2 linked regions of the Daphnia pulex genome follow. The protein of the gene in region 1 binds, or shares a complex with, the protein of each later gene. Links are inferred from orthologs where the notes say so. Each region holds a gene or a part of one and is shown on either strand. Other genes may lie near its edges. The genes, in order: mortality factor 4-like protein 1 and vacuolar protein sorting-associated protein 72 homolog.

Region 1 (12,055 bases):
CCGCGGGACGGATCTCTTTTTCTATGTACCGCGCCAAATATGGCGAAGGAAATGGTCAGACTTGGAGACCCACGCTGCTCTTTCGGATCGTTTTGTTTTCCTTTTTTTTTTTACTAGCTTCGATCGAACGTGAAGAGATTTGCATAACTGGACGCCGAGACAAGGTCAAGTCCAACTGGATTGCCCAATCACATCACGTTACTACCCTCTATACAACTAAACCCCATTACCTTAATGGAAATCCAATCCGAATGGTCGACACTAACTCGCGATACAAATTCACTTTAAGTGTGGCAATAGCAAATTGTTCAAAAGTGGAAACAGTGAAAATCAGAAGGAGAAAAGAAGAAGAAGAGGAAACGTAGTAAATTTGAAATCAAAAAAGAATCAGCAAACAACTCACCTTGGAAGTTGTGTGAGGAGCGAGAAACCCGTCAGGCGGCTACGGCGACTGAAGAGCAACTGTTCTAGCTTGGACGTTCTAGCCGACTAACAAACAACTTGGGAGCCAACTGTGGAGTCGTGTAGGACCCCGGCCGAGCAGCTCCTATAGCCGCCCGTTTTTGTTGGTACCCTCCTTCTTCTCTCCTGACTTCTTTGATTCCCACCTCCCCTCCTGACAAGCTCTACGCCCGTCCTTGCAAGAAGCAACCCGGTTCTTTTTTCTTTCTCTCTCTCCACAATCCCGCCCGTACAAACGTTTTCTGCCCGCCTACACACTCTCTCCCAACCCTCTGCGTTGGTTCCAAAAAACCTCTCCTTCGCTCTGTGTGTTATTGCGGTACGCACGTCCATTTAAAAACAGAGAAAAAACACTCTTTATTTTTTGTGTGTGTGTTTGTTTCCACACTCGACATATTGATCTAATATATTCAGATGTATCTGACCGAGTGAAACACCACCCGGAGCATTTGATTGCGTTATGCATTTTTTTTTGCCGACGAGAGTACATACAAGATAGTCAACTCATACCAAGAATATCAATTGTAATGTTTATTTTGATTGACGCTTGTAATAATGATTCTCGAGACACGAAAGAGAAATGATTGAACACACACACTTTTAAGAGAGTAAAAAGCGTCCTCAATATGAAGGTAGGTCAAAATGCAACTGGAAAGTGAAAATATGTTTACGGGAATTGGGCTACACCGCAAAAGTGACACGAAACATTCCAACGGGGGGCGATGGGGGAATGATTTTTTTCTTTTTTTCCCGCAACTTGATCCGCCGACTTGCCGACAAGTCGCAACGATTACGACATTTCAAAATTCAGCAGGCGCGTGCAGCTTATAATCTTCTTCTGATAAAAGACTACGACCGTGCCGTTTTATAATGCAATAAGGTGGTGGCTTATTCAATTTTATGTAATCCATTCTTGACGTTTGCCATTTGTCGCACCGCTATGAGACGCGGGGTGGATTAATAAACCGGACCGCGGGATGACGTCAGTCTTCACTTGTTTTTTTTTCGTGAGTGAGAATTCAGTTCAGAAAAAGTGTCGGATGAATCGCAAGTAACTCGAGGCACGGTATTCATGTTCACGCCATCATCTGTGGTTTTGCAATCGTCGTTAATGAAACAATAGATTCATTAACCTTGTACCTAAGTAGAATCGCTCAGCCGGAGCAGCAGCAGCCGGAGCAGCAGCAAAAGCTCCGTGCTGGATTCCAGAGGTGACGGGAGTCACGACTTTTTCGCGAGGTCGCCGACAATCCGACGACTACGAAACGTAACAGAACAAACGGGAGAGAATACTCAAAGAAATGGACGTTTCATAAACAAACAAAAAAATAATTCCCGAAATTCTTCAAAAGGGAAAATCGATACGACCTTGCCGATCCTTGCCACTGGTCATTTTTTGACACGCAAGTGTTTCCTTCCATCGCAGAGAGAGAGACTCACGTCGTGTAAAATGCTGTTGGAATATATCTGTCTATCTCACTCTCTCCGATTGGTCACGACCTTTTACGTTTTATGTTTGGCGCCACATGTACCGGTCCCGCCAGGTTTTTGTACCGTATTGAACGCGCCAAAAGAGATATATATGATACACGTCCGAATCATTTTTGCATAACTGACACTTTCAATGCCACCGGTTGATTGCGTCGAGTACTACTTTGGAGCGTAAGAAGAACACACGCGACAAATATTGGGGTCAGTCGCAACATTTGAAAAATGAAAATTGAACACGCAAAATTGAACTAGAGAATTTCGCTGATTCGTCGCAACAAACCAAAACCAAGCGCCACCGCAATCCTGTACACAGTTGCGCAGTGAGGGACGGACGTGGGTGCGCTCACACACCAAAAATGGACCGGGATGTCGAGAGTCGCTTCCATCGTTCCGTTTGTTTTGCTTTTTTTTCTCGGGACTCCCGAGACCTGCAAAAGATCGTGACGACGTCGATTGGCGTCGGTTGCACGTTGCAGACCGATTGAGTTTACATATGATGGAATGCTTACACCCTCCCACCGTCTCTCTCGAATTCGCATTTTCAACCGCATAAACAAGAAGAAACCGAAGGAGAAAAGAAAAATTCTTCCACGCTGCCGTCGTGTAGAAAAATCCCGGCGTCGTCCTGGTCGTACACCTTGGCACCGATTTGTTTGTTTGACTTTTCTTGTTTTTTCATTTTCCTCCTTCTTTATTCTTCGCTAGACAGAAACGGGAAAAAGGATCGGGATATTTTTCTCTCTCTCTCTCACTCCATTCTCGGTCCCAGAAATAGGTCGGGCTCAATGCGCGCGCGCGCCAACAGCCGGCCATGCTGCCGCCGCTGCCCGCTGCCGCTGCCGTATTGGTTTACCCTCAACCGAAAGAACGAACCCCCCCATATAAATGAAGAGAAGGAGGTGGAGGTTCTCTTTTCATTCGGCGTCGATAACCATGTAGGGAACACAAGAGAAATGGAAATCACAGCACACGTTCAAGAGAAATAAAATCCCAGTCAAGGCGACGGCCATGGATTGTCCGTCCAGTCGTGTGGCTCCTTTTGATTGGGAATTTTTCTTTTCTTCTTTACAGTATGGAAAAGAAAATTCTACGACGGTGAATTATTCTTCGCAGCGTCGTTTTTCCTCTTTGTCGAATCACATACAATCGCTCGTATCAAAAGGAGGAGAGAGAATGACAATAAAAAGATCACAACTTTCTAATTCTTCCCAGTCATACGATGGCAAAACGCCCGAGTGAAAGGTGTGTGTGTGTGTGTACCAAACGGTAGTCGCTGCAACTGCATCAGTAACACACACACACGGCAGACACGCGAGAACCATTACACACCAGTTCAGAGAGGTACGGTATAATAGAAAGCTAATGAGAACGCTCGATTTCCATCGTAACGGTCGCATTGCGTGGCGCTTCACGGACGGTTGCACGCGTTGGCTCGGGCACAGCATCCAGGGATTATTAAATAACACAAGTCGAGACGAGGAGATCCTTGGTGTGATGGGCCAAACATGAAAACGTCATAAAAATGGCCCCGGCTTTTCCCCTGCCCAGTCGTTGTTGTTGTCGGAGAGACGGGCGGTTTTGGGCTTCGACCTTTATGAAAACGTCAATGCAGCTGCGGCAGTGAGCTTACTCACACGATCTGCACAGCCTTCACCTACATCTAATGACACTGACTATGACGCCCAAATATGGTCAGGAAATGTTACTTAACCCATATATGTTTTGTGTGTTTGCTTTTGATGGAAACGAGAAGGGCAAATAGAGAGAGTGTGTGGCAAAAAGGGTTCGTCACTTCTTTTTCTTTCTTTTTTGTGGAGAAAAAAAAAAAAAGGAACTTTTGGGTTGTTTTCTGATTCGCTTCCGGAATCGAGTCCAGCTGCTGCGGCTGGTCCAGCAGCCCCGGACGCTGATAGCTCAACGTCTATATTTCTCAACCGGGACGGCAAAAGATCTTCCCTCTCGTCCGTTTCAGTACAAGAAAGTTAAAACAACACAAAATAAGGCCAGCAGCACACACTACGGCGGCGGCGGCGACCGACGACGCCGCCGTAGTTTATTTCTGTACCAAAAGCGCCCGGGCTCCTCGACCCAGGAAAATCAAAAAAGAAAAAAGGTTTTATTTTTTCTTTCTTTTTAAAAGCTCCCAAATATTCTTGCCGAAAGAATTGAAACACTTCATTGAAAACAACATGAATTTGGGACTACTGACACAAATATTACAACCCTTTTAGCTCTGAGACGATTCAACTCTCTCGTGAATCATCAGCAGTCGCGTCATGATGGGAGGGTTAGAGGTCGGGGTGGATGAGGGTATTATCACCCTCGTCTTCGCTGCATCCGCCCAGTCACCGAAAAATGAAAAAAGATAGACGCAAAGACCCAAAAATCTACACGACACACTCATCTCACGAGCGTTTTGTTTTCTCTTCTCGGTCACGAACAGCTCGGCTATCATTTCAATGTTTGGGTTTAAATGACCAGCAGATAGTAAATACTGAGCGAGGAAGACGGGGTACACATAGTTGGACCGTGACGATGTGTTGTTCCCATCTCAAAAGCCCACTTTCACTGCACACACGAGTTTTGTCTATGCCAATTTGAGAGAGGATCACTACCAAAATCTAGCCGAAAATCTCTAGACACACACTCCATTCCGAGCGGATGTCGAGCCCAATGAAGGAAATAATACACGACGATTGTTCTCGACTCCCTATCCGACAAACAGGACAATTAATTGCTTGTCTAAAAACAGACCAGCTGGGTCAAAGAGATTGGCGTCATCGGTAGAATTCGCAGAACCGTAAAAAAAACCGCGTAACAATTGAATGTATTACGTTTACACGATGGCAAGTCACTGTGTTACACATGAGGCTTAAAAAAAAAAACTTTTTTCTTTCTTTATTTTTAAAGTTTACCAGATTTCAAATCGGCTCGTTTATATGTGTGAGACATTGGAAAGAAAAAAATATTTCCGACGAAAAAAAAATGAAAAAAGATACACTGACGTGGTATTTCAGCAAGCGCGGCGGTGATATTCAGCCGATGCGTTGCCATAATCCTGAGCACTGAACAGCGTCGAAGCGTTGCGTCCCATGTATCTGTCGTGATCACAGCTGCCGATGTAAATCAACGTCTTTAAATAAAATGTTTCTTTCGTTTTCAGACTTACTTTAAAAAATCTTGGAGGTGAACGTGGAGCAGTTGGATCGACTTTTCATCAAGTGGGGTATACGCCAGCATACTTCCTAGCCGGGCTGTACGATAATGTTTATTTTAAATATGTTAAATGGTGGTTTGAAATCAATTGAAACTTACTGAACATGCGTAAAAGATGGGGGGCTCCATAAATTTGGCTCATCATTTTGTCAGGGTGATTCTTCAAAATCTATAGCCATATAAAGAATCAACGTATGAACGTATAGTATATCACTGTGAATTTCACTTCATGACTTACATCAGCATATTGTAATCTCTCAAATTTATACAGCAACGAAGAACCGAGCGTTACATTGAAATATTCTTTCAAGCCGGCCATGACCTCCTGAATGGCACTCTCTCTAAAAATGGAGGAATTAAAGGAAAGAAATAAATAAAAAAAAAGTTTCTCCACTTGGTTTAGCAAATACACACAATGTATGTATGCTATTGGTATTCATTTTGCTAGCAGTAACAGCGGAATTGCGACATACTTGCTTGGGGTGGTCGTCCGGTTGCTGCTTTTGTGCTTGATGTAATCTTCTAGAATGGTGTCAACGGGCACTTTGGATGGTAAGTTCGCCAACTGTTGCGTAATTGGATGAAATGAGTTTTTGGTGACTCAGTGAAATATTGCTGGAAAGATAATATCTTTAACGTTTCAAATCACGTACTTTTTTCTGGCGGTTAATATAGTCCCAGTCATCAACAAGCCAGGGTTTCAACTCATCTGGAATCTTTATTTTCACTTCAACCTTGGATAAAAACTGTTCTTCCTATAAGTAAATGGTTTTTTAATGCTACATTGTTGAAAAGATTTAGAAAGTGTATGTGAAATCTCACTGATTCAACAGTAGAGTCAGGTCTGGTCTTCTTTCTTGAGCTTTCAGAAGATGATGCTGTACCAGCAGTGGTGGTAGAAGGTGTTGTTGTCGTAGAGGCTGTGGCAGGTCTTTTGGTGGGTTTTTCTGTTGGAATATAAGCAATTTTTATGTTATTTTTCGTAACACTGATCTTGACTGATTTCAAGGAAAGACAAATAGTCTGACAATGGCATCATGTGTACCACTTTTGACAAGGTACCTTGAAGTGATGGTGTAGAAGATCTACTATCTGTTTCTTTGCCTGATGTATTAGCATCTGACAGGTTGCCTCCACCTTTAGATGATTCTGATCTTCGGCCTGGAGGTTTGCCAACAGGGGTAGAAACACCTTTGATTTGTTTCTTTCCTTTCCTGTTCCAAAGAAATTGAAAAACCAAATAAGATGATCAATCAGCCTTAGTCGTTGATGAAAGTCAATAGTTACGATGTAGCTTCATGAGCTTTGAGGAGTTCTTTCTGTTTTTGAAGAGCTTGGTCATTGTACTTCAGCACACGGTTTTCAGGCACCCACTCATCCCAACTGTATAAACAGCAGAGGAAAATGTTATGGAAGTTTCATCAATATAAATTTCACTTTGATTTTACTTTTTATTCCAGCCAGCATAATGTATCAAGTATTTGTTCTGTTGATCCTTGAATTCTGCTTTGAGGCTTTTGGCTTCATATAAAAGCGGACCGTGAAAACAAAGAACTCGTTCCCCTATTATTTTGTTTAATCGTTTAAATTTAGTTATCCAAAGATATATTTGACTAATAAAACAAACCTTCTTTAAATTTGAATTCTGTTGCTGGCTTCTGTTGAGCTTTGGGACCCATTTTTGTTCAAAGCAGACGCTACAACTTGCTAGTTGCTACGTCACGTGACCTAGCGTTGGTGCACGTTTCATTAAAAGAACGTCAGAACGCCAAAATGCAATTTTTAAAAAGAAAAAAAAATCGAAGCACATTTTTTTTTTTTAATAGCAGCTGACAAATATTTGATAGCCACAATCAATTTTATTCAAACTCAGACGTAGAGATCCATGTTTACTGTTTTTTCCCAAGCTTTTCTATAGATTTCTACTCATGATGGGAGCAAACACAAAATTTAATGTTTGGAATCTCACATGATCACATAAGTAGGTGAAGTCGCGACGCCACAATTATTTTCTTTTTGTGACATCAAAACATACCCAGAATTTCCCCAATAAGTCGACCACGAATTTTTTACCAACCAGTATGGCTCGCCTTTTAGAATTCCATACCCTACAGCTAAAACAGCGTGGTCCAAGCTGTCTTCTCCGCTGCCTACAGTTTAAAAAAGTAATTCAAGGATGAGTGTGATGGTGCCACAGATTTCAAAGAAAGAAAGTATTCTTTTAGAAAAGGTAATTGCATGATATTATTACGAGATTTTAAAAATTATTACCGCATTCAGGATTGTAGTAAACTCCGTTGGCGTAAAAAGAAAATGCACGATGCGCAGCATCTATTTTAATAGTTTCGATAAAGAAAATTATTACCACCTGACTTCACTACAACTCCTCCGCGTTTTATTACCGATAGCAACGGAGATTGGGCCATACTTAAAGATGGCAACACGCAACGCATCGACGTCTCCTGATGTTACATTAACATAGCCTTTAATGGAGGCTACGAGAGTCGCATTGTCTACATGGCAATAACCATCAGCACCCAAGTAAGGTCCATAACTCTCCTCTGAAGGAATACCTCCGTGCTTCATCATCCACTGGTATACTCGGAAATCTTCACCACCTTTAATTGACGAACAATTATGCGAAGAAATGGTAAAATTTAAAACAAAGAACAACTTTAGAAGAAAAAGTGAAAATATATTCAAATGAAATAACATACCGTCGCAACCGTTATTGCCAAAACCCCAACTGCAATCAACAAGAGCCTAAAACAAACATATTCCCATCATTAATTTCATTGAAACAAAATATTTGATGTTAATTTACCTGTTGTGAGAGTGGAGTCAGTTTACCCGTTTTGAGGAAGAGGGCTCCTTCAAGAGTTCCTACAGTTCCAAAACTCCAACACGAACCACACACACTTTGGTCTATAATAATTGTAATGATGACATTATTTAAACAAAAATTGAATTTAAACAAAAAGAAAATTACCTTTAACAGGAGTGACAGCTCCATAAAGCCGCCAATCCATTTGCTCTGGAAGATTTTCAACATCACTCTTAGTGTAGTGGAATGTCGAGCCACCATTGAACCCATTGGAGCGCAGTTTTCCACGCATGTAACGGATTTCATCTGAAGTCCGGTCAGTCATGTGATTCGGTGCTAGCTTATAAGTTAATCCAGCGCGATTTTTTGAATGGATGAATCTACCAAAACGTAAAATGTAAGGTGGTTCGGAAAAGAAACTTGCATAAGACAATAGAATAATACCTCATATTCTGTCTGAAAATATCTTTGCGATTTTCGTGTTCAGTTGTATTTTTGTAACCCTTCTTATGATGACGGACGAACGAGTCAAATGTATCGTCCACATGCTGAGTGTGATCATGAGCGAATTCACGCATGGGGTTAAATGTGTAAATATGGTCGACACCGGGACCGGGGAATCCATGGCATTCGCCTACATCTGAAATAATAATTTAATTTACAGATGACAAAGACATTATTTTTTTTGCAATGACAACTTATTTACCGGAGTCGATCATGAATGCATCTTCATTAGGTTTTTCTGCTGTGAAGCTAGAATAATCCAGATAATAATGGTCATAATGAGAACCCAAAAGGGAGTTGAATCCTTTCATTTCATATCGAACGGGTACAGCGATTTGTTGACGAGTTCCAGCGAACTAAAATAGAATATTTCATTGCACATGGTCTGGTTATAAATATACTGTAGTTTTGAAAAAATATTTACTTGGTGCTGGAGCCACATTGTGTAGCGATTAGTTTTATCGCCGACAGAATTGATATACTCCCACTTTTCACAACTCACACCATTCATAATTTCAGTGCCAATCAGCTAAGCAAAACAACAAATTTAACATATTACTTTTATCTTTTTTCCTGTTTGTTTACTGCTGTACCTTAAAGTTTGAGATATCAGGCAAAACTCCTTGGACTTTTACTGGTTCATCAGCACTACCAGATGTTTGGAAACAATTTAGCTGATTTTTAACTGTCTCAGTGGTCATAGGGGCAATTTTCTTGGCTGTGCCATATGGTCCTTCATTTGCTAGCTGGTAGGTTTTCTCCATTCCTGTTAGTGAAAAGCAATGCAAGTGGCATGAATAATAAATAAGTAAATAAATAAATAAAAAAGTTAAAAGTAAAAAAAAAAAATCACACCTCCATAAAAATCAATTCGGCTTTTTCCACTATCAAAATCCACCCAGGCATAAAAGTTTTCGTCTATTTCAGCATATGGAAGATGGAGAACTCCTTCACTTATCTAATGGTGTGGAAAATTGAGCAATGGTCTAAGCATAATGTTTTAAATACTACTAAGTTACATAAGCTGAACTCCAGGAAGGAGGAGATGGAGAGTCTTTTGGAAAAGGTGGTTGGTTGAAAAGTTGAGGAAGTTTCCACTTTTTTATCCATGAATTTCTCTCATGTTGTGATGCAACCTCATTATCTTCTGTGCCTCCAATTGCCAACCCTATAAGATGAAAAACACAACATGTAACAATTATTAATCGAATTGCATCGTTACACGCGTATTGAGCTAATAAACAAAGAATGTTCGAAATTCTACCTATTAGAGCAAGAAACAAGAAAAGACAGCAGGATCTTCCCAGCCACGACATTTTTAGTCAGAAAAGCAACTAGCAACTGAAATCACTGAAATATGCTGGAGTAAGCAATAATGCAAAGTCTAAATTACGCCTCCTCTGAAGCGTAGCACATCTGAACTTCTGAAATCTGAAGCCTTTGGAGGTTTGGAAATAATAACAAATTACAATGTACAGAATTCGGTGTTGCCAAATCATTCATTCTTATTCGGAATATTTATACTGCAGCAGACGATGTCACGAACAGCCGGTGCTGGAGTGCAGCTTGTACACTTCGTTTGTCGTGTCATTATTGTTCATTAATTTGATAAACACAGAACTTTCAACCTTTTTTTTTATATCATTAAGATTTCGCCATGTTTGCCAGAAGTAGCAGTCGTATATTCAATGTTATTAACATCTCGTGCATACAGAGTAGAAGTGCGCGAGCATGGGTGAGGAAACCACTCGGATCACCTATGGCCAAATCGAAAATGTTCCGAATTGCTCCAAAAAAATTCATACCCGCCGATGAGAAAGCTGAAGTTAAACGCCTTTATGACAATTACTTTCACCAAATGAAGTCTTTAAGGTAATTATTCAAACTTAGATTTTTACATGGATTTTAAACCTCATTTTTACTTCGTTATAGGCACTATTTTTTTGAACAGTCTCTTGAACAAGCAGAAAGTGGAGAAGTAGCACAAATGAAACACAGATTGGAAGAAGAAGAGCATATTAGATTGATGGAAGAAAACCGTCTGGAAAATGAAAAAACAGCTAAGTTGAGAGAAGAGAAATTAAAGATCCAGGCAGAGAAAACAAGAGAAAATATTCTAGCTTCTTTGATTAATAAAGAGGAAGAAACTAGACTATATGAAATTCAAATTGAAGCTTTCCTTGAGAAACAAAAGGTATGGCTATTTGATATTTATTTCTTAATTATATCTATCTAACTATATTTTTTTTTAGGCTACCCCATTTATCCAAGCTGAAAATATTGAAAAAGCTATAGAGGAAGCACTTGCCAACCCTGTCGACTTTAATTTTGCCATTGATCTCGATGGATACGTATATAGAGGGAGAGAAACTGCGATCGAAAAAATACCAGAGGAAGAGCGAGAGAGACTGCGTAGCAATTGAATGTATTGAAAAGTGATTACATACAATATTTAGCATTGTACCTTAATCATCTTCCATGCTTTCTTCATCTTCGCTAGTCATATCTGGTTCATCAGCTTCGAGTTGGCATCGACTACAATTACAGTGAAACAAATAGTTCTCTTTCAAAATTTTTCTTCTTGAATGTCGACTTCTCGACTGGGCGCATTCATCAAGATAACTGATAAATATTTCTTCGCCTTCTTCCAAGTCTTTTGATGCTACTAAAGCTACAGTATGATTAGAAAACGGAAAAGTCGAAATACAGTTCGGTTCACAACTGTGGTTACACGCGCTCTGAATCGCAAATAAAGCCGATCCCTCATTGTTGAGAAAATCACCAGATTCAGTTTCCATTTCTTGATAAATGGTGTCAATCAATGCATCAGTTGCAGGATCAATGTCATTTTCAGAAACTTTTCGAACCCAAACGCTTTTGAAAAATTTTAAAAGTTAGTACAAACAAATTAGTACTTTATTTAAGAAAATTAACCTAAATGCGCTAGTTCCTATGCCTTGTCCATTTCGTCCTATCAGAGCAATTAAGGAGCGGAAGCCTTGGGGAGTCAGAAACTGGAGAAAAAGTTAAAACTTGTCATAATGGATTAGCAGTAAATTCAAATTAAATTATACCTCATTGGTTTCCGGCATTCCAAGAGCCTTAGTGCATAAATCTCGAAGGAGCTCTAATTGACTTTCGAACTCTTGCCCCAACAGCTTGTGGGCAATAGTTTCTTCTTCATTGACAGTGTGATGGCACAGTGACATCAGTTGACTTTTAAGCTCTTCTCTGTCTGTTCTCTGAATGAAATTAGCAAGGATTCTCACTAATAACATGATTGTGGAGGTTTCAGGAGGATAATGCATTTTCCTATTTAAGAACATGTTCAAAGTTTTTTTTTAGGAAAAGATTTTACAAAATTTACAAAACACTTACTTCCATGCTTCATTTAATTTTTCCAATGGATGGTTAGGATTTCCTCCAAACATGTTGCAACAGATTGTTTTGTGGTATTGCTTCCAAGCTTGATCTTTGCAATCAACACTGCAATAGGTTACCTGCCAATCAAGAAATGATAATAACTAAAGAAAAATTATGTATAGATTTGTTATTTTG
Region 2 (11,670 bases), on another chromosome or scaffold:
CATATTCATCAAGCAATAAACCGATCCACCGGAAGACAGATTTTTTTTTTTTTGCTAAATATATAAAGTGTGCATAACATTGTTTTCCCCTCCCAGTGGGTGACATCAAATCATGACAAATGATTTTCAGCTAGTCGGTGTTTATAAAAAGAAAACTAAAGAGGTCTATTGCACAACACAATGCAAGAACATTCCGACGAGTGGAGGGTTGGGGGAAGTGATGATTAATTTTTGGGTTCTACTTATAACCAACGGTGATCGCAATGGTTCGTTCGTTTTAACATAAGGCGTCCCAGACGAAATTAGTGGGTGTTTATTTTAGGTGAGTGCGTGCGCGTAATCAATTAAGGCAACCCGTGCATTTTTCAAGGCAGGACTCGTTGTGTTTCCATTTACATGTGAATAGCGGCAGCGGTGTAATGAGCTTCTCCAGATCTCCATCGCCACTGCGCAGGGCGGTACTGCAAATGTGAGTCAAAATAATTAGAGAAGTTCACTATGGTTATCCACGAAACTCATCACATACCCGAATAAAGCATTGACCCGACGGTGTGTGTGGATTCCTGTAGGCGTAAAACAGCCATCCTCCGAGGCCAACGACTATGGCCACCAAGAACAAGATGCCAACGACTGAGGAAACGTTGGAAGCATTGGCATCTTCGGAAGCATCTATAACACAAAATCAATAACAGATGATGGGAGGAAGTTTATGCTACAGCTCAGGTTTAAGGACAGATATTAGACCCAATAACCGTACCCTGAGTATTAGCCCTGGCCTCAGAAATTGGAATGGGTAATGCAGTAGTAGTCGAAGTAGTTACTATCAGAATGTTTAGCGGGTGAAATAACAGATGTTAGCTTTAGCTAAAGTAAGGATAAGAAATAACACAGAAGAAACATTGGATGTGCTTTCTTTACCATTTGTCACGCGACTGGCTGAAGGATCAAAATCGTCCCATGGCTTAGTTGTTGGCGTGACTGTCGTAGCCGTAGGTGGGAATCTACCACATCAAACAATTGTTAGTCAATCGACGGTGAAACTGCAAAATATTATATCAATTACTTTGTAGGTGCAGGAGTGGGAATGGTTGTTTCCATTGGCGGAGTACTTGAAGGAACTAAAGGTGGCAAGCTGCAGTTGCCAATGTTATCAACGAAGACTTTGTCACAACCCTTGATCAGCCAATCTTGCCGGTGGCGGTCCATGCCGTCAGAACAACGCTCAGCCGTGGAGCACCAAACACAATCAAAACCAATGGTGTTTGAAATACAAGAATCGCAGGAATTGAATGCAACACATGTAGGCAGAGCGGTGAAATAAATGGCCGAATCAGATGTGACCTCTTCTGTTTTCTTGTCTACCTTATGGTACTCGTAAATCGTCTTCCGGCGGACAACTGCAAACCAAAAACGTTAGATTTTGCTTTAATGATTAGATAGAAAACAGGAAGTCGGACACCACAAACTCACAAAAGATGGTTCGGTCGATGATATAAGCATCAGAAACGCCCACTTTGACAGGATGGGCATCATCGCCAATTGAATTAACTGGAATAGGAATGTCTTTATACGCAAAGATAATATCACCAGATTTTAATAAAGTTGCCTGCGTTTACAAAAACACGAGTAAATAAAAGTTATTCGAATAAGAATGTAAAAGTCATTATACCTGGAATGAAAAGTTGCCTCCATCGGGTTTATCCTGAAGAGCAACTTTGTCCCACTGAACTGAAAACGCCGTTCCATTATCCATGTACTTAATAGTGGAGTAGTTACTCATGCTTGTGTCGAAATTTGCCATCAACGGGGCAATGTATTGTGTAGCAGCCAACCAAGAATGAACGTAGTCTCCAGTATATAGAAAGCCCCCAGTAGCGATGGTAATGTTACGCACCCAGTGCCCATAGAAGGGAAAATCGAAGGAGAGCGGAACCGTCTGTGAATAAATAAAAAAAAAACGAAAACAATCTAATTTGTAACCGAGTTAGTGATTGCCAATTAAAAATTCTTACAGCGGCACGACGATGTGATTGAGACAACATATCGTGAGTAGATGCATTTTCCTTGTCAAAATCAATCCAAAATTGCATTCCTTTTTCAGGATAAGTGGAGCTTGAAAAAGAAAATAATGAATTGATCACTGACAATTTTGACGTAATTGATGTATGGTTATTACCTGTTGTAATATCGATGGTAGTCTTGAGTGACATTTTTAACAGTGATGTTTAGACCATCATAATCCACAGTTGGTAGCACTTCAGTTGGAGTTGGTGTAATGGTGGATGGTGTAGAAGTTGTAATAGGAATAGTCGTAGTGTCAGTATTGCTCTGAATGTCTGAAGCTAATAGGAAACTCAAGATAATTTTAAATTAATTGGCATATTTATTAACACAAACTTACCGTTTCCCTGTGGCAAGTCAAGAAGTGGGCTATTTAGTTTCTGATTTGAAGAATTTTCTGGATTTGAATTTGGTTGGGGCTTCATGGTCACAGGTTTCTTTGCATCTTTGCTTTCCTTTGGATCCACTTGTCGTTTGGTCAGTAGCTTAATCACAGGCTCTTGCTGCCAACTGCTGGGAAATTCGTCTGACTCGTACAGAAAATAGTCATCTGTCAAAAAAATACATTTTACCAATTACAAAGTAAACCAATGTGGCAATATATTGAGGCAAAGTGAAACCATTAAACCGACAATAAAAATATGTACAGATGAAGCCTGTCGTTAAGTTCAACACAATATTTTCCTCGTTCTCGAGCAAATGTTATAGCGCCATAAACCCAAAACATTAAACGTCACAAAGTATAATTTTTATATACCAGCTGTGCAAATGCCGATGAGGGTGAGAGTAACTAACACAGCACACCAGTTAAATTTCCTGCTTTCAGACGCCATTCTCGGTGTATTTTTTCGAGGGTTGCGCCTATTGCACCGTGGAGTCCACGGCCCTCTAGTGTCACATAGTGCTATTGCACCGTGGATCCACGGCGCTCTAATGTCACTTTGTGCTATTGCACCGTGGATCCACGGCGCTCTAATGTCAAAATATGCTATTGCACCGTAGAGTTTAGCACACACACCGTCACGTTTAACTAAAGTAACCCTGTGTCGTAAGGCTGGTGCTCCTTATGAAATAATTGCCGACACTCGCACATCCAATAGATAAGGACTGATAGGATAAGGACTGTAAAGCATGCTCTCCCAATAGCCAATACTGCCTCCCAAGATTCACCTTGTGGCTTTAACACAGTCACTCCTACTGCGGCTGCTCATAATAGCAATTATGTCAGCTGTGATCGACCTAGTCAAAAACAAATTGTATATACAAGTGTCGACCCTTTTAACCTTCAAAAAGAAAACGGACCTGCATTGAAATGTCCAGCAACTACAGTTATTATGTTAGTATACGCTAGCTAGCGGCATATACCGCTAATTTTGGAACACATAGTTCGCTTTCTGCAAAGGGCTTAAAATAAGACTTAATCAACACGTGATGCCCAATGGTTGTCCAGTGCAAATTAGATTTACCTACTATGGTACATGTGAAAAAAATTTGCGATAACAAAGCTGGAACCCATGGGCATAGAGAGACCTCTCCATACCCCTGCTGGAACTAGCTCGTCCGCGCCACCTGGTATCCACGGCGCAATAGCATATTTTGACATTAGAGCGCCGTGGACTCCACGGTGCAATAGATTTTTCCTTTTTCGAGAGTGACACTTGTTACAGACCACTTGTAGACAGCAGCAGTGGGCTTCATCAATTCGTCGGGCCCTTTTTCTCCGTAGGGTTTAATGGGCTACAGGGTTGCCACATGTCATTGTGTTTCACCAGCACTCCTTCTTTGCTTCCGCCTCGCACTGTTGTTGCTCAATTCTTTCGTAACTAACTCGGTTTCTCATATTTTAAATTGCTCAAATGAAAATAGGACAAGAATATTTAATAACGGGTAAAATTTTTATTTTTCATTAAACAGCGTAAGAAAGCTGAAATGAATTTACTGAATTCGTTAATTCTATTATTGCAAGATACTGCGCAATCATCTGTAAAAGTTATGACGTAGACGGTGCTGCATTTCCTTTATTTCGCAACACAGAAAATACCCAGCATTGGGACGCTTCATTAGGATCTTCCTGCATTGATCACTGATAACAAAATAATCTCGCCTGAAATAAAAGTTTGTCTTTATTTTTATATTTTAGTGTAGATGATCCCCGTCTATGACATCCAATGTGGGATGTACACAATCAAAAAACAAATATTCACAATTATAGCTCGATCCTTTGCGGTGACTTTCTTGGTCTGATATCGGACGGCTTGAAGACAACTACGTTTGGAGCGCTCACAGTGGACTTCAAATGAGTTGGAACATCTTTTCCGGAAGGATCCGGATCAGCTAAACTGATACTGGACACGGCAGATCTGCAAATCAATGAATTATGAGTACTTTTAATGACGTCGAAACCATTTTGAAATCTTACACTTTAAAAGATTTTGAATCTTTGGCTGACAGATCACATTGCAGTGCAAAAGCTCCGTCTCCTGGCATAATGAGCTCCTTATCATGCTGTAAGATGAGAGTCACTTGAAACTTTTCTCCATCCTAAAAAAATTGCACATTAGAAACATGAGACGTTAGACGTGTTGATACATTCGTTATTCTTATTGCACGTACATCCTCAACATTGCACTGATCGTATGGTATTTTGAGCCGAAAACGACGGCCACCGTTAGCATCTAGAAAGCACGGTGCCTTTCGTGAATAGAAGCTGCCTAAGTCAGAGAAAAATTTAGAAACGAAAATTTAAATTTTAAATCGATATTTTCTCTTGTTTTGTACCTCTGGTGTATATGACTCCTCTAAAATCGGCCAGTGTCTCTACTACCACTTGAAAATTGTTGCTACCGCAGTCTAGCCGGATCTGATCGAACCCCGAAGCCGTCACACCAATGTTCATACGCCCAGTCACATCTTCCCGCCATAATTCTGCAGTTGAAGGGAAAAGTGGTAATATAATTGAAATTACTTGACTTAGACTAGTAGGATGACGTAATTCTTGCAAGATTCCGTAGTTTCTTAACAAAAACATATCAAGTTAAAACGCTTTAATGATTCTCACCTTCTCCTCTTGACGTGAACAGACACAATAAGAATGTCAGAGACAAGAGCACAAAATCACGGACAAACATTTGATAAAGCTTTCAAAGAAATGGTGAGATGGCACCGGAGTCAGTCAAGCTGAACTGGTTTCAAGACTAACTGCATGCCGGTCTTTGTACGGAAACACCTGAGTTTTCCATCTGTCAATGACTTTCTCTGGGTTATTCTAGCCTCAGGTGATTTTTTCGTTCTTTCAGATGAATGCCAGAAGTAAAGCTTACTTCCGTGCGGCAGAAATAGCATGCACCGGCGGGAAAATTGGTTTTACTTTTGATTTTGAAAAATAACAATTGTAAAATTTAATTATACGTAAATGGTGAGGAACTGGCAAAGTAGCGATACCCACTGAGGCAATATTTTAAGGGTCAATTTGTGAAATGGTTGGAACTGGTTGGAACTGGCAATTTTACTGATAAAATGCAGCAGAATAATTCGTACCTTCATTTAAACAAAAATGTTATAGTCATGTCATGAATGTGTGTGATCTTGTCTTTTGCTTTTTCATTGTGTTCATCAACCTGGATAAGGATCGGGATAAAGAGCTTGAAGTCTGTAACAATTTTAATATTCTCTTTAAAGTGGTTCCTCAACACAAAACGTTATAACAAACAAGGTGAAGTGTTTTCAATTCTTTTTCTTAGTAACTAACTTCAGTCTTAAAGGGGAAGGACTGAATGAAGATTGAAGAACAAATATAAAATGAAAGAGACAGAATTTCTTTTTTTAGGTACAGTACGTCTAAATCCAGGAGAAGCAAAGTAGAAAGAATGAAAGGAAAGGCGGAAAGGTTTCTGTAGGATATAACGCCACCTAGCGTTGTGATTTAGCAAGAATTAAGTTTGGTTTTAGTCAATAGATGGCTTTCTGTGGCGTTGGCGTCTGCTTTTCCAGTTGAGGTTGTTTAGAAAAAACTAATTTTTTTGTGTAATTTTAACGTGAACTTTGTGTTCTCAGATCTAGTAATTGAATTCTCATAGTGTTTGTTTAGTAAAAAATAACGTCTATCTGTTAAAGTTCATCATGTCGCTACAACGTGAACGGCGTGTAAATGCGGGCAATCGCTTGTCAAAATTACTGGAGGAAGAAGAACAGGATGACGATTTCTATAAAAGCACTTACGGTGGATTCAATGATGAAGAAGATGACAATGAATTCGTTTTCAAGTAATTTAAAGTCTAAATTTGTATATTACATCAATAAAACAAATCTTTTTTTGGTCTAGAGCGGAAGAGGACCAGGATGACGTAGTAGACTCAGATTTCAGCATTGATGAAAATGATGAACCTATCTCTGATCATGAAGATGAGGGCACTAAAAGAAAACGAGGTGTAGTCAGTACCAAAGCGTACAAGGTATGTCTATTCTACTACAGAATTAACGAATGAAATCATTTTTAAAAATTTTCTTAGGAGCCTAAAGCTTCCTCGAGCAAACGCTTAAAGGGTGACAAAAATGCTGATGAAATGACAGAAAGAATAGCAAAAGCTGGAGAAAAAACAGAAGTTCCTGTGGAAGTCCCGAAGGTCAGGTCGAAATATGCCAGAAAGCCAAAAATTCCTTCACAGGCCAGAGAAAAGAAGGCAGTAAGGCAAACAACTGTATTGAAATCAGCTGAAACTGTACAAAGACTCAGGGAGAGAGAAACAAAAGGGAAAAGAAAACACAACAGGTTAGCATTAAAAATAATTCTTCATTAGAAATGTTTCAAACCAATCATTTATTATGATGTAGAAGGGACAATTCTGAAAAGTTAACCCAACAACAGCTTCTAGAAGAAGCCAAAGAGACTGAATTGCTTAACATTCAATCATTGGAAAAGTATCACCAACTTGAACTGGAGAAAAAGAAAACTAGGGTCGTGAAAAAGGCTCCTACTGGACCAACAATTCGTTACCTCTCGACGTCAATGCCTCTGATCCAGGAAGTCAACCCGGAAGCCGAGCGAATTAATGTCGAAGAAGATGAGGAAAAAGAAGATAATCCAGTTGTTGAGAATGGCACGGTAGCCACAGTCGACAGCAAGCAGTGTTGTGAAAGAACTTTCGTTACGTTTTCGAATGACAGTGTCTTGGAGGCTAATTTCAGTCGGACGAAAGTCACTCCACCTCAAAAGAATTTTTGTCCTATCACCAGGTCGGTTTGAGTGATCGTCTTCTCTTAGATGAAAGGGAAATATCATTCGTTTATCATATCTCTTTTCAGGCAAAGAGCCAAATACTTTGATCCGGTGACTCAGCTGCCGTACGGCACTCTACAGGCCTTCCGGATTTTACGTGAGGCCTATTGCCAGCAGCTGGAGGTGAAAGGAGACGCCAGCGATCCGGAGATCGGCCGCTGGAAGGAATGGCGTCAAAAGTACCGCCAAGCTCGACTCGCCGCTCTAGCTGCCGCTCGCGCTCAACAGGTCAACGCGCAGGGAAACTCAGCACCTGCATCGACGCCAGTTCCAGCAGTCAAACCCTCCAACTCGAATAACTCCACACCGACGATATGAACGAAATTCTCCTCATTTTTTGCAACCGACATGAATAAAATGGACATTTTTTGATATTTTCTTTCGACCATTAGACAATTTAGGGTTTCTTTCAACTCGATTTGTGTTTCATACGAACTTTGTCAGACTAGCAAATGTTATCGATGAATTATTCATAGGTTAAATCCTATCAAAAGCGTCTTGCTACACCTGCCGACAAATAAGTTGGCAGTGATGATGAAACCGGAAGGCGATCAAGACGTATACCATGTTCTTTAAACTTCAAAACTTGTACTATTGTGCTGCTCTACTACTAATTCAGTTGACATTAGTCACCCAGCAGTTGGTTCCTTACAGCGGAGCTACTCGTTTTGTTCCTAATTGGTGGACTGCAGGTAAAATCAGCCATTTTAAAAATGTGTTTCCAAAAATAATTTGAACAGCTCATTTTTGTCTTTTCCATTGTTAGCAAGACGTCAGCATTCAACCAAAACATTAAAGCCTCTTATCTTTTGTCCAGTTCATCAAGCGGCAGGCGGAGAGTGTCGCAATTCCGAGGATTGCTCTGCAGACGAGTGCTGCGTCCGCTCTACGGGGTCCCGTCTGCACCGGTTCTGTTTGCCGTTGCGTCAGACGGGCGAAGCTTGTCGACTCACTCAAAATCTTGTTGATCCATCACATGAACAACATCACGTCTATTTGAACCTCTGTCCCTGCACCAACGGCCTGGTCTGCCGTGAAATTCACGGCGGATGGGTTGATGCCGAATGCGTTGCATCACGCAATCCGGCTGACCTACTTCGCCACTCTTTCCTCCAAGCCATTTTGAACGCTATGAAACAGCGCCGACAGCAGTCGAATAGTCGGCGCAACCGAATTCCCGTCAATTCGTTTTCAAATTAAGGTTTATTTTCTTTTTTGATACGGCGCGTTGACCTTTTCACCGATTCCGGGTGTTGCAATACAAGGAATGTCCGTTTCCCCCCCCCCTATCTCACGATAAGTCTAATATGTAATATAACGGAAATAACCACTCCCTTTTTCTGTGTTGTCTATATAGTACTATGGGCTCAACCCAAAAAACAACAGACGAGTATAGTTGCGGTTTCGTGTTGACAAGAACAACACGCAGCAGTTGGACGGTAAATCATCCGGTCGGACAATCGTGAAAACGAAGAACTTCTCGGTCATCCTTGTCCCAGCACAAAACGCCGTTATTATTATATTAGAAGTGTTTTTCTTTTAAGTTGCGTGAAATGTGCAGCCCCGTGCAGTCGTGCACTTGATAGTGGCAAGTTCATTTACTTATTTCTATGCTGCGCATGTACACAACTCGACGACGACGACAGCCAACAACCCCCCTGTGACGGATGTGCACTTTCGGGTCATGCGCGTTGCAGCGTGATCAATACAAGAGAGACAACAGTCGGCTCTGTAACGACCGCGCGTTGTACATACTCGGGGCGTCTTGCTGAAGATAGTCCGGTGAGTTGTTGTTGGACCTTATCTCGCCAGGAGCGTTTCAAAAAATAGAACGGAAATAGAGTGTACCGTAGATGATTTTCTTGCTCTGTGTGTAGTGCGAATTGAAAGTGACGCAACTGAGAGCAGCGGTTCGCGGTCGTCTTTTATCTGCCACCGAATGTGAGATAAGAAGAGTGTCAGCGGCTCGGGAATTTTTGAGGAGATCCCCCCCTGTTGGTGCGGGATCAGCCCAGCTGTGCGTGTACGAAAAAGCTCACGGGGGTTGCTGCTGGCTGGCTGGCACTTGGGTGAACGTCAAAGATGGCCGACGATGACGACTATCAACTTGAACCACCGCCACTTTCGGCCTGGGCAGCAACTGTCGGTATGTGGACTGGTCCTATAGGGGAAACTGAACTGTCAACTCTTCCAGCACAATTCCATTTCAATCCGTCATTTTCACAACTGCCGATCGCCTAGAAATAAATATACACCGTGTCAAACTCTCTTGCACGACGACGCCGATTGACATCTCAGTCTTTGCCAAAGAATTTTTGGGGGGTTTCAACCGGACCCGCCCTATCGGCAGCTGGCGCGGCCCACCCGCTATACTCCTTCCGCCGCTATACTTCTCTCCTCCTTTAATTATTTATAGATAGCCAGTAAGAAGAAAGAGCGAGTTGATGCTGCATTAGAGCGAAAAATACAAAAAAAAAAAGGTTGCTGCGGGACCCCGTTTGATGGACGCTCCTGCGAGAGCGAAACAGCTGCCCAGTTTCGCAAAGGCTTCATTTCGTTAGCCCCCTTCGTCCTTGTTGAATGTTTGCTAAATTCAGCTCGACGAAAAAATCAATTACTACTGGCCACGTTCAAAGCGTGACCAACATTTGTTGTTGTGCGGTAGTTTTTTTAGTAGTTTGTAGTCGTTATGGTAGGGCAGCCAATGGCAACTGGGATAACATCGTTTCAACTCCATCATCAAAATAGTAGTCAATTCAGTGCTCGTGATGCTCCTATCGTTAATTTGGTTACTCTCCAATCGTCCGTGGAACAGACCGACCATCCTACCATCTTGTAAGAAACCCTTGCAAAATACAATTTTAACCTTTTTATGAAAAGATTTAATAATAGTCTGCTAGGCAGCTCAACTGGAAATAAAGATCAGGTTGTCTGCTTTCTGCTATTGCGTCACCGGATCTAATAACAACAATTTATTGATCCGACGAGCATTTAAAGTATAACGGGGGAGAGCGGGGAGAGCCATTTGGAACATCTGGAAACCATCGTCTTATTAATGTCGTGTTTTCACAGTGATGCTGGAAAAAAAATAATGAAAGAAAAACGGTGATGGATCGGAGATAGAGAAAAGTCTTGACAGGATAAACAAAACCCAACCAGCAGTCGCGGGACCGGTTGTGTTATTGTTTTGCTAAAATTCTTTTTGAAAGTCTCGTTGCCTCATCTCTTTTGTTTTTCTCTTTTTCTCTCAAAAACAAAAAACAACCGGAGCTATAGCAGCTATAGAGCCGTGTAACCGACATTTTTTCATTGATGGCCGTGTCAATTGTAGAATTGAGAAATATTTCTGGTGGGGGAAAGAGAAAAACAAAAATTACTCGACGATGCGAACCGGGCCAACAAGTTAACGCCAACAAACAAAAAAGAAACAAAATGAAACAAAAATATTTCCACGGTAGAGTTTATAAATAACTCGGCGTGCTGCTGTGTCTCGTATACACACACACACGTTATCGGGGAAAACTTGTGTTCTACGTGCGAGTTGCACGTATATTGATGTGGACTAGATATCGGCGTGATTCCGTTTGACTAATTTCGCATAGTTTCGGAACCAATCCGTTAAATATCGTGAATCGCCTCCGAGTCCCGTCGAATCAACCCCAATTTCTTTAATTCAATTTGAATCTAATTTAACGATTGGAACGATGGGTCTGTCAAATCATTAGAAAAACGTGAACTGGGCGTTGACGTCGAGTCATTTCTGCCTTTTGTTATTTTCTTCCATTTCAAATGGAAGCTGTTGTTCAAGTCACAGTGTCTAGCTAGCACACACAGCTGTACTAATAGGAGGGGGGACGACAAAGACGAAAGGGAGACAGATCGATCAGTTGAAAGTCTGTCATGGCGCTCCTCCGTCTAAAAAAGATCCTATTTTTGACTCACGGCAGAGGGAGACGTGAATCTGTGCACGTTCTCTCCCCCAGCTGGATCCGGTACTACTCCCCTCTCTTCCACTTGAGAGTGTAAGAGACACAGGATCACATAAAAGTCGGAAGAGCTCACAACCCCCACGGTCTCGTCAGTCGTCGGTGTGGACACATTTATATTCCTCCTCCTCCCTTTGCTGTTTGTGTGTGTGCACCGCCTGTGTGTTCATTGCATCGGGCGTTGTTTTCCGCCGTATGTCGGCGCCCCGTTATATTGTATCAGTCAAGAGCCGGCCAGAGCCGCGTTTGGTTATATATTATTGCCCCACTACAGCTCGGCAGTATAGACAGAGACACAAGTGAACGATGGAAAATTGAGTGTGCACTCACGACAATCACCAAAAGTGT

What was found.
Region 2: mortality factor 4-like protein 1 (region 1) and vacuolar protein sorting-associated protein 72 homolog share a complex: the UniProt entries of both Drosophila melanogaster proteins name them as parts of the tip60 chromatin-remodeling complex. The link is inferred for Daphnia pulex from reciprocal best matches to the Drosophila melanogaster genes MRG15 and YL-1.

The regions. Positions count from the first base shown.
Region 1 is NC_060018.1:5,685,481-5,697,535, reverse strand, and holds mortality factor 4-like protein 1, read right to left. Parts: upstream 6,941-12,055; 5' UTR 6,849-6,940; coding exon 6,797-6,848; intron 6,733-6,796; coding exon 6,618-6,732; intron 6,553-6,617; coding exon 6,457-6,552; intron 6,384-6,456; coding exon 6,232-6,383; intron 6,117-6,231; coding exon 5,992-6,116; intron 5,925-5,991; coding exon 5,823-5,924; intron 5,735-5,822; coding exon 5,643-5,734; intron 5,511-5,642; coding exon 5,408-5,510; intron 5,339-5,407; coding exon 5,269-5,338; intron 5,208-5,268; coding exon 5,123-5,207; intron 5,052-5,122; coding exon 4,967-5,051; 3' UTR 4,764-4,966; downstream 1-4,763. Other genes in the region: digestive cysteine proteinase 1-like, read right to left, coding at 7,135-7,319, 7,441-7,500, 7,572-7,787, 7,887-7,932, 7,994-8,094, 8,159-8,373, 8,438-8,633, 8,700-8,853 and 5 more; probable 28S ribosomal protein S26, mitochondrial, read left to right, coding at 10,155-10,369, 10,430-10,691, 10,750-10,920; histone-lysine N-trimethyltransferase SMYD5-like, read right to left, coding at 10,963-11,371, 11,432-11,511, 11,572-11,809, 11,876-11,997. UniProt on the Drosophila melanogaster protein: Part of the Tip60 chromatin-remodeling complex which is involved in DNA repair. Upon induction of DNA double-strand breaks, this complex acetylates phosphorylated H2AV in nucleosomes and exchanges it with unmodified H2AV.
Region 2 is NC_060028.1:9,607,436-9,619,105, reverse strand, and holds vacuolar protein sorting-associated protein 72 homolog, read left to right. Parts: upstream 1-5,898; 5' UTR 5,899-6,056; exon of another isoform or gene 6,057-6,114; 5' UTR 6,115-6,180; coding exon 6,181-6,323; intron 6,324-6,382; coding exon 6,383-6,512; intron 6,513-6,569; coding exon 6,570-6,829; intron 6,830-6,891; coding exon 6,892-7,293; intron 7,294-7,362; coding exon 7,363-7,654; 3' UTR 7,655-7,710; downstream 7,711-11,670. Other genes in the region: plexin domain-containing protein 2-like, read right to left, coding at 393-461, 527-669, 758-820, 919-1,001, 1,064-1,397, 1,471-1,606, 1,670-1,936, 2,013-2,112 and 3 more; uncharacterized protein LOC124210054, read right to left, coding at 4,268-4,421, 4,481-4,602, 4,675-4,772, 4,840-4,989, 5,120-5,189; uncharacterized protein LOC124210055, read left to right, coding at 7,902-8,028, 8,103-8,536. UniProt on the Drosophila melanogaster protein: Part of the Tip60 chromatin-remodeling complex which is involved in DNA repair. Upon induction of DNA double-strand breaks, this complex acetylates phosphorylated H2AV in nucleosomes and exchanges it with unmodified H2AV.